Linked DNA regions of Cricetulus griseus. The protein of the gene in region 1 interacts with the protein of each later gene in a biochemical or structural test. Links are inferred from orthologs where the notes say so. Each region holds a gene or a part of one and is shown on either strand. Other genes may lie near its edges.

Region 1 (4,296 bases):
AGAAAATACAGACCCATTGTCTGCCAGAGACAGGCTCCAAACTGCCCTGCCTACAGTGGGCAGCACTCAGGCAGATGAAGTGTCTCCTGTGGCCCCACACTCCCACAGGCTGGGGGACAATGTGAAAGGTACTGTTTCCAAATGCATCAGACCCTACTGCTGTAAGTCACTGCTTGCCAGTCCTGAGTTTCTTCTTGCTGGGAATAAATTCCTATACTCAATGGAGAGAGAGTGACAAGGAAAATTAAATTAAAAAAAAAAAAAAAAAAAAAAAAAAGGAGTGGAAGTGGAGCTGGCTCTGAGAAGTAACACACACAAAAGGGCCCCAAAGGAGCATCGGCAGGGCCTGTTAAGTGTACAGCAAGAAAGGCAGGGGGCAGTACAAATGCTTCCCTTGGCAACCAGGACAGAGAATTCAGTTCTTAGGACAAGTGGGTGGGTCCAGTTATGCAAGGAGGAGCATTCACAAACCACTCGGGATTCCTTCATGTCTGCCTCCATCTGTTCCTCTCACTATCTCTGAGGAGCACTCAGGAGAAAAAGGCTAGCAAGTCAAGTTCATGACTCAGTGAGTCCCTTTAAGAGTGCCAGGCAAAGCTGTATCAGCCAGAGAAAAGCCCCCTTTGTTGTGCCCTCCCTGGCCAGAGGCACCATGGTCTGAACATCCTGACACAGCTCCGGTCTTGGACTGCACCAGCATTTTTAGAGACCCTCTGGAATTGGGGTGGTTACAAGAAGGAAATATAAGTATAGTTCTTAGATGCCATGGACCCCAAGTTACCAAAGTGCCTGTCCTTTGCCAAGGGTTCCTCTGTTGTTCCTTTATGGGAGCAGTAGCAGTGAGTGCACAAAGCACAAAGAACAGACCATCTGACAGTTCAGCAGGGCCTGGGTTTCGTGAGGTATTGAGCTGGGAGTGGACGGGGTGCAAGATCGCTCTGCTCTTCAGCTCTGCATTTCCAAAGGTGGGAAACTGAGCAGGTGCCAAGTTCCTTGTTTGAAAGATCTGCCCTCACAATGAGGTAAAGACATAGGCTAAAGTAGTTGGAACAGTGAAGGCTCACAGGAGAAGGCTCCTATCACTCCTGAAGCATAGACGTAATGCATGAATGAACTCCTTGGCCCAGTAGCCAAACTTCTCACCAGACCAATGGCTCCCATCAACAGCCAATGCCCTACCTACAGGTACAGCAAAGCCCTAGGGAAAGGCTCCATTCAGGCTAAGGGTACCAGAGCATTGTACTCAACAGGCCTGTCAAGCAAACACCATCATCAGAAAACAAGACAAGCTGAAATTGCCTAGAAGGGACAAACAGACAACATTAAAGGTCAGTTCCGTGCAGGAGGCAGGCCTGGCAGCTTGCTCTAGAACAAGCTGGCCCGCCCTGTCCTGCTGGACAGTGTCTGTAGAGGAATGTGCTCATATAGGGCGGAGACCTGGAAAGCAGAATTCAGATTCTTTCCTAGGCTGTTCCCCCAGGCTGAATGCAGACTTCGAAAGGCATGTAGAGTCACTCCTTGAAAGAGGGAGCACGGAGGGCAGGCTCTGTGAGTCCTGTCATGCCTTTTGTGGGTGAAGGCTAGGATGCCAGACTACCTCCTTTACACAAGTGATCCTGGGTGTTAGAGCCCTTCAGACAGGCAGGTCACTGGGATCCATACATAGCGTCCTAAGGAGCTAAATCTTGCCTCACCCCTTCAACTGGTGAAACTGAGACTCAAGTGAGGCACATAAACACCTATCAACTCTATAGTGAAATGCAGGAGTCTGTCATTTCAGGGTCTCAGGGTTACCACCCCCTGAAATCTCTTGAGGCAGCACTGACTCATTAAATCGTCTCATGTACCCCTGGCTGGCCAGGAATTCACTTCAGTGCTGCTGTGGGGAGAGATGTTGAGACTCTGTCCTCCCCTGCCTTCAATGGGGGCTGCCTCCCACCGGTCCCCTGGGGATATGAAGCAGAGAGTGAGACACACCAGCGAAGGGAACATCTAAGTCTCAGGTTTTCCCATGACACTTAAAAAGCATACTCCAGCGAAGGAGGGCGACTGATGAGAATGAATTGGGTGTCTCCAGAATGAGGAACAAGAAAGGGAGGACAGCAAGGGCTCATCTTCCTACGGCGGCCCCGGGAGCTCTATGAGAAGGTCTGGGGTCAGCGGCGGTAAGGGGAAAGAGTTAAATTGATGACCTGGAAGATTCTGGGGTTGACAGAAGCCAGAAGAGTGGACGATGCCTATTACCCGACACCTGGGTGGTCACTGGGTCGCAACCAGGCCACAGTCCCTGGGAGTGGTCGCCTGGGGTCTGGCGGGGGCTCTTGGAGACAAAGGCCATCGGGGCAAAGGCTGCGGGGGTCCACGGTGGTCCTCGCGCCTGGAAAGAAGGGGTAGGTACCTGTTGAGGAAGGCGTTGCCGAAGGCGTTGAGCTTGCGGAAGGGGCGCCGCGGGTCGACGACCAGCGCGTTGCCCGGCACCACGCCCTCGGTGGGGCCGTGCATGACCGCGATGAAGGAGTCGGTGGTGGGCTCCGGCCCGATGCGCATCCCCGGGAAGTCCTGCTCGATCAGGTGGCGGATGAAGGTGGTCTTGCCGGTGCTGTACTGGCCGACCAGGAGCACCATGGGCTTGTTGTCGAAGTCAGCGTCCTCCAGCGCGGGCGAGTGGAACTCGTGGAAGCGATAGTGCTCCTCCAGAGGCAGCAGCTTCTGCGCGTACAGCTGCCGCAGCCCCTCGGCCACCGTCTGGAAGAGCTCCGGCTCCTTCTTGCGGCGGGCATCCTTGCTCACCCAGCTGAACATGCTGCCGGAGACCGAGCTGGCTGCTGAGGGACGGAGCGGCGGCTGAGCGGGACGAGGGCTCGCGGCCGAGGAGGGGCCGGCCGGCCGGCGGAGGGCAGCGGGGCAGGGGGCGGGGCGCGGCCCACACTGCGCAGGCGCAGGCTCGCGGACCGGCGCGCAGATCACCAGAGCGCCCTCTGCCGAGAGCCGCGCGAGCCGCGCGGAGCGGCCCCTTTATAGGCCGGAGCCCGGCGCTCGGGCCGCCTCAGGGCCCGCCGGGGAGGGGGCGGGGAAAAGAGTCCCCCAGGTCCTGCCCTACTCGCGTGCCACGTCTTCCCCTGCTTCCCATTGGCTGATTTCAAATCTCGCGAGCCCGTGGCTGCGGTGCCCTGGCAACCGCACCTGTTTTGCTCAGCCCCTCGAGGAGTGGCTAGCGGAAGTCCTGCTGTTGGCCGAGCCAGAGTCTAGCACCGAGATGTACTTAGCCTGAGCATCCTCCAGCATCGGTGGACTCCAGGACACCCCAGACACCTCGGCTGTGCTCCCCAACTATAGTGCTTCCACCCACTCGGAACCCCAAAAGCATCGGGAGCCCGGGCGCTGCCTCGTCTCCCGTTTCCCTACCTCACACACACTCCTCACCCCTTAAGTCTTTTAGCGCCTCTGGGGAGAGAGAGACAGGACAGCGGGAATAGGGAAAGCTGAGGCAGTAGAGGACAACGGGAAGAGAAAAATCGGTAAGGAAGGAGACGGAATGCGGTGAGAGAGGGACCCAGCAAAGGACACAAATAATATGACCTGGCGGGGAGAGGCCAAGGTCTCACCGAAGAGGTTCTACCCTCAGAATGGGGTAAAGAAGTTGAGGCTTTCTGGCTGCTTGAATTTTGAGGAAGTGAAATCGGAAATTCCCCTTGTGAGGAAGAGGGGACATGTTGGGCAACAATGAAATGTTGTGGGAACTTAGGGGAAATCAAAAGCCCAAAAACTTCCGCTTTCCTGTCAGGGACACCACCAGTCCCATCTTTTGTTCGGTTCTCTTGAGTCCCAACCTCCTTACCAGTGGGTGGCTGTCCCACGGGCCTCATGTCCCCACCATCATCCCTGGCCACACCTAGGCCCCCTTGGCTGTCTCTGCTGGTGAGAATTTTCAGTGGGTGATGTCAGAGATTTGGGGACTGTGATTGTTAGGTAACCAGTATCAGGTCACCTAAGTGGAAGGAGCATCTAAGGGCTGTTGGAGAAGTCTAAAATGAACCTGGGGAGTCAGTACTGGTTGATACACACCTCTGGTCTCAGCTGTTTGGTGAGCTGAGGTTGGAGGATTACTTGAGCCCAACAATATGAGACCAGCAGGGGCAACAGATACTGCCTTAAAAAAAAAAAAAAAAAAAAAAAAAAAAAGGACAAAATATTTATTGGTAGGATTAAACTCAGCTTAATGGTAGAGCAGTTGCCTAGCATGTACCAGCCCATGGGGCCCATCCCCAGCACCATGACAAACAAAAGCCTTGGGTC
Region 2 (3,813 bases), on another chromosome or scaffold:
GATATGTATATAACAGTTATCTCCAGAACATGCCATCCAACACATAGGGAGACATATTCTTCTAGTGGCACAAGGAACCTTCTCTTAAATCTATTACATTATAGGCCACAGAGCATACCTTAAATTTTAGGGAAAAAAAAAAAACAAAACAGGACCCTGAAATAATTACCTACATCTTATCAGACAAAAAATGAAGATACAGTTTGATAGTAGCATGCTTGCCCAGCATGCATGACATCCCTAATTAAATCCCCAGGAGGGAGAGCCTTATAAAAACTGTGGAGGTGGCTCAGTGGTTAAAGGCAAGAGCATGTGTTGCTCTTGTAGCAGACCTGAGTTTGGTTCCCAGCACTGTATCAGACTGTTCATAGACATCTATAACTTCAGCTCCAGGGGATCTGACACCTGTCTCAGTGAGCACCTACGGTTATGTATACACACACACACACACACACACACACAACCAAAATTAAAGATTTTTTAAAAATCTCTGAATTTGAGACCAGCCTGATCTATATAGCCTGTTTCTAGGCCAGCCGAGCTACATAGTGAGATCCTGTCTCAAAACAAAGAAAAGTCTTCAATATCTTCAATATTAATTTTTAATTATGTGTATGTGTGTATCTCTGTGTGGGTATGTGCACATGAGTGCAGGGGCCCTCAGAGGCATCAGAGATAATTCTGGAACAGGAGTTACAGATTGTTGTAAGCCACTCAACATGGGTTCTGAGAATTGAACTCTGGTCTTCGGCAAGAGCAATGTTCTTTTTTTTTTTTTTAGATTTATTTATTTATTATGTATACAGTGTTCTGCCTGCATATATGCTTGCACACCAGAAGAGGTACCAGATCTCCTCTCACAGATGACTGTGAGCCCCCATGTGGTTGCTGGGAATTGAACTCATGACCTCTGGAAGAACAGTCAGTGGTCTTAACCTCTGAGCCATCTCTCCAGCCCAAGAGCAATGTTCTTATCCATCAAGCTGTCCATCTAGCTCAGACTTCAATATCTTAGGCATCAGCAGAAGTGTAGATTAAAACTACTTTGAGATTCAGAAATCAGAATGGCTATCATCATAAAGACGGACGACAACAAATGCTGGCAAGATGTGGGAGAGGAGCACCATTCACTGTGTTGGGAGTGTAACTAAGTGCTGTAGCCACCATGGGGTCCGTGTGGAGACCCTCCACACAACCTAGAAATAGAATGTGGTCTAGCTGTATGTTCCTGGGTGTATATCCAAAGGCTTCCATGTTTATTTTCAAAATAGCAAAGGCATGGAACTGGCCTGGATGTGTGTAGAGACTGAAGAGGTTGTTTAGTAGTTAAGAGTACTTGTTCCTCTTGTAGAAGACCCAGGTTCAGTTCCCAGCATGTATATGGTAGCTCATAGCCATCCATAATTCCAGTTCCAGGGGATCTGATGCCCTTCTCTGACCTGTATAGGCAACAGGCACATATGTGGTGCACATACATACATTCAGGCAAAACACTCATATGCATAAAATATATCTAAAAAAATTCTAATGGATAAATGAAACATGAAAATATGGTACATATTCATAGTGAAATTTTATTCAACCATAGAGAATTTATGAAATTTGTAGGAAAATAATATGGAATTAGAAAGTATTACATTAAGTGTGGTAATCCAGGCTCAGAAAGACAAACATCTCCATGTTCTCACTTATTCATAAACAAATCCTGGTTTCCTTTTTCTTCTCTCCCTCTCCCCCCCCCACCTTGTTTGATTGGTTGTTTTGTTGTTTGTGTGTTTGTTTTTGTTTTTGAGACAGGCTCTGTCTATGTAGCTCTGAATATCCTGAAACTCTCTCTGTGGACTAGGCTGACCTCGATTCAGAGATCTGCTTGCCTCTGCCTCCTGAGTGCTGGGGTTAAAGTGTATACCACCATGCAACATGTAAAACATGTCCATTTAAGTGGGAACAAGTGTAGGCAGAGTCCATGAAACTTGAAAGGCCCATAAGTTTGGGAGTGTGGCTTTAAAATAGGTGGGGAGGATCTTGGAACTTGTAATGTCTAAGTGGAAGGAGGAATGGGGTGGGGGAGCTTCAGGGTACGGTAGGGACGAAGGAGAGCAGGGAAGTCAATCAAAAGTGTGTATGAAAATGGCATGGATGCGAGATGGTGGCACGTACCACCAGAGGGAGTTACAGGAAAGCCATAGCTGTTACACAGAGAAACCTTGTCTCAAAAAACCAAAAGGAAAAAAAAATGGCATAAAGATGGACCGGTAGGCTGAATCAATTCTGAGTTCCATTCTCAGGACCTATACAGTAAAAGGAGAGAAGTGACCTCTCTCAAGTCATTGTCTGACCTCACATGTGATCCCCATTCCTCAGCCAAAATAATAAGTAAATAATTTTAATCTTTTTTTGTCTTTGAAGATTTTTTATTTGAATTAGAAACAAGATTGTTTTACATGACAATCCCAGTTCCCTTCTCCCTCCCATCCTCCCCTACCACCCCTCCCAACTAAAACCCTACCTATCACATATCCTTTCTGCTCCCCCTGGATGGTGAAGCCTCCCATAGGGTATCATCAGAGTCTATCATATCCTTTGGGATAGGGCCTAGGCCCACCCGAGTGTGTCTTGGCTCAGGGAGTATTCCTCTATGTGGAATGGGCTCCCAAAGTCCACACCTATGCTAGGGATAAGTACTGAACTACTATCAGACTGGGAAGCAAGAGTTCCCCGATGTTCAGGTCAGCTGTTTCTGTGGGTTTCACCAGCCTGGTCTGGACCCTTTTGCTCTTCACTAGTCCTTGTCTGCATCTGGATTCCAGTTCAGTTCAGTGATTAGTTGTGGGTGTCTGCTTCTACTTCCACCTTTTTTTTTTTTTTAAACAAGGTCTCTCTATGTAGCTTTGGTTGGCCTAGAAGTCTGGGGTGGGGAATATTACAAGGAAGCCTGTTACTTTGTATGCTAACCGTTTAGAAAAGGACAGAAGCATCCCTGGCCCTGTTGGAAACCAGACAAAGCGTAGACCTGCCTAGAAGTCACACCAGCCCACCTAGACTGTTTTTTAAGACTGGGTCTCACCTGGCCCCCAAGCTTGCCTCAAAATCACTCTATAGCGAAATATAACATTAAGTTAATCCTCCTGCCTCCACCTCCCAGTTTGTGTGATTACAGGTATGCGTGACTATGCCTGGTTGATGGAGTGCTAAGGATCCCCCCCAGGATTTTGTGCATGCCAGATAAGCGCTCTACCCAATTGAGCTACATTCCTAGCCCCAGACTTTCATTTGCTATGATTTGAAATTGGGGGAATGATATGATGCCACTGCTTCTTGCCTTCTGCAGGAGCTGGTCCGGCAGCGAGGAGTCCTAGAACACACGGAGAAGATGGTAGACAAGATGGATCAGGATTTGAAGATGAGCCAGAAACATATCAATAGCATTAAGAGTGTATTTGGAGGATTTATCAACTACTTCAAATCCAAACCAGTAGAGACTCCACCTGAACAAAATGGCAGCATTGCCCCGCAGCCCAACAGCAGGTGAGTATAGTATCCACAGTCTGGACCTATAAAAACAACAGAAACAGGTTCCAAAGGTCCTGAGTTCAATTCCTGGCAACCACATGGTGACTCACAACCATCTGTAATGAGACCTGGTGCCCTCTTCTGGCGTGAAGAGACACATGCAGGCAGAATACTGTATACATAACAAATAAGATAAAATAAAATAAAATAAAATAAAATAAAATAAAATAAAATAAAATAAAAAAGAGCACTGGCTGCTCTTCCAGAGGACCTGCGTTCAATTACCAGCAACCATATGGT

The links.
Region 2: the proteins of Ehd1 (region 1) and Snap29 form a complex in vitro, tested with the Homo sapiens proteins (2 studies listed by BioGRID). The link is inferred for Cricetulus griseus from reciprocal best matches to the Homo sapiens genes EHD1 and SNAP29.

Annotation. Positions count from the first base shown.
Region 1 is NC_048596.1:53,077,299-53,081,594, forward strand, and holds the start of Ehd1 (EH domain-containing protein 1), read right to left. Parts: upstream 2,916-4,296; 5' UTR 2,803-2,915; coding exon 2,399-2,802; intron 1-2,398. UniProt on the Homo sapiens protein: ATP- and membrane-binding protein that controls membrane reorganization/tubulation upon ATP hydrolysis. In vitro causes vesiculation of endocytic membranes. Acts in early endocytic membrane fusion and membrane trafficking of recycling endosomes.
Region 2 is NC_048597.1:71,895,213-71,899,025, reverse strand, and holds part of Snap29 (synaptosomal-associated protein 29), read left to right. Parts: intron 1-3,331; coding exon 3,332-3,528; intron 3,529-3,813. UniProt on the Homo sapiens protein: SNAREs, soluble N-ethylmaleimide-sensitive factor-attachment protein receptors, are essential proteins for fusion of cellular membranes.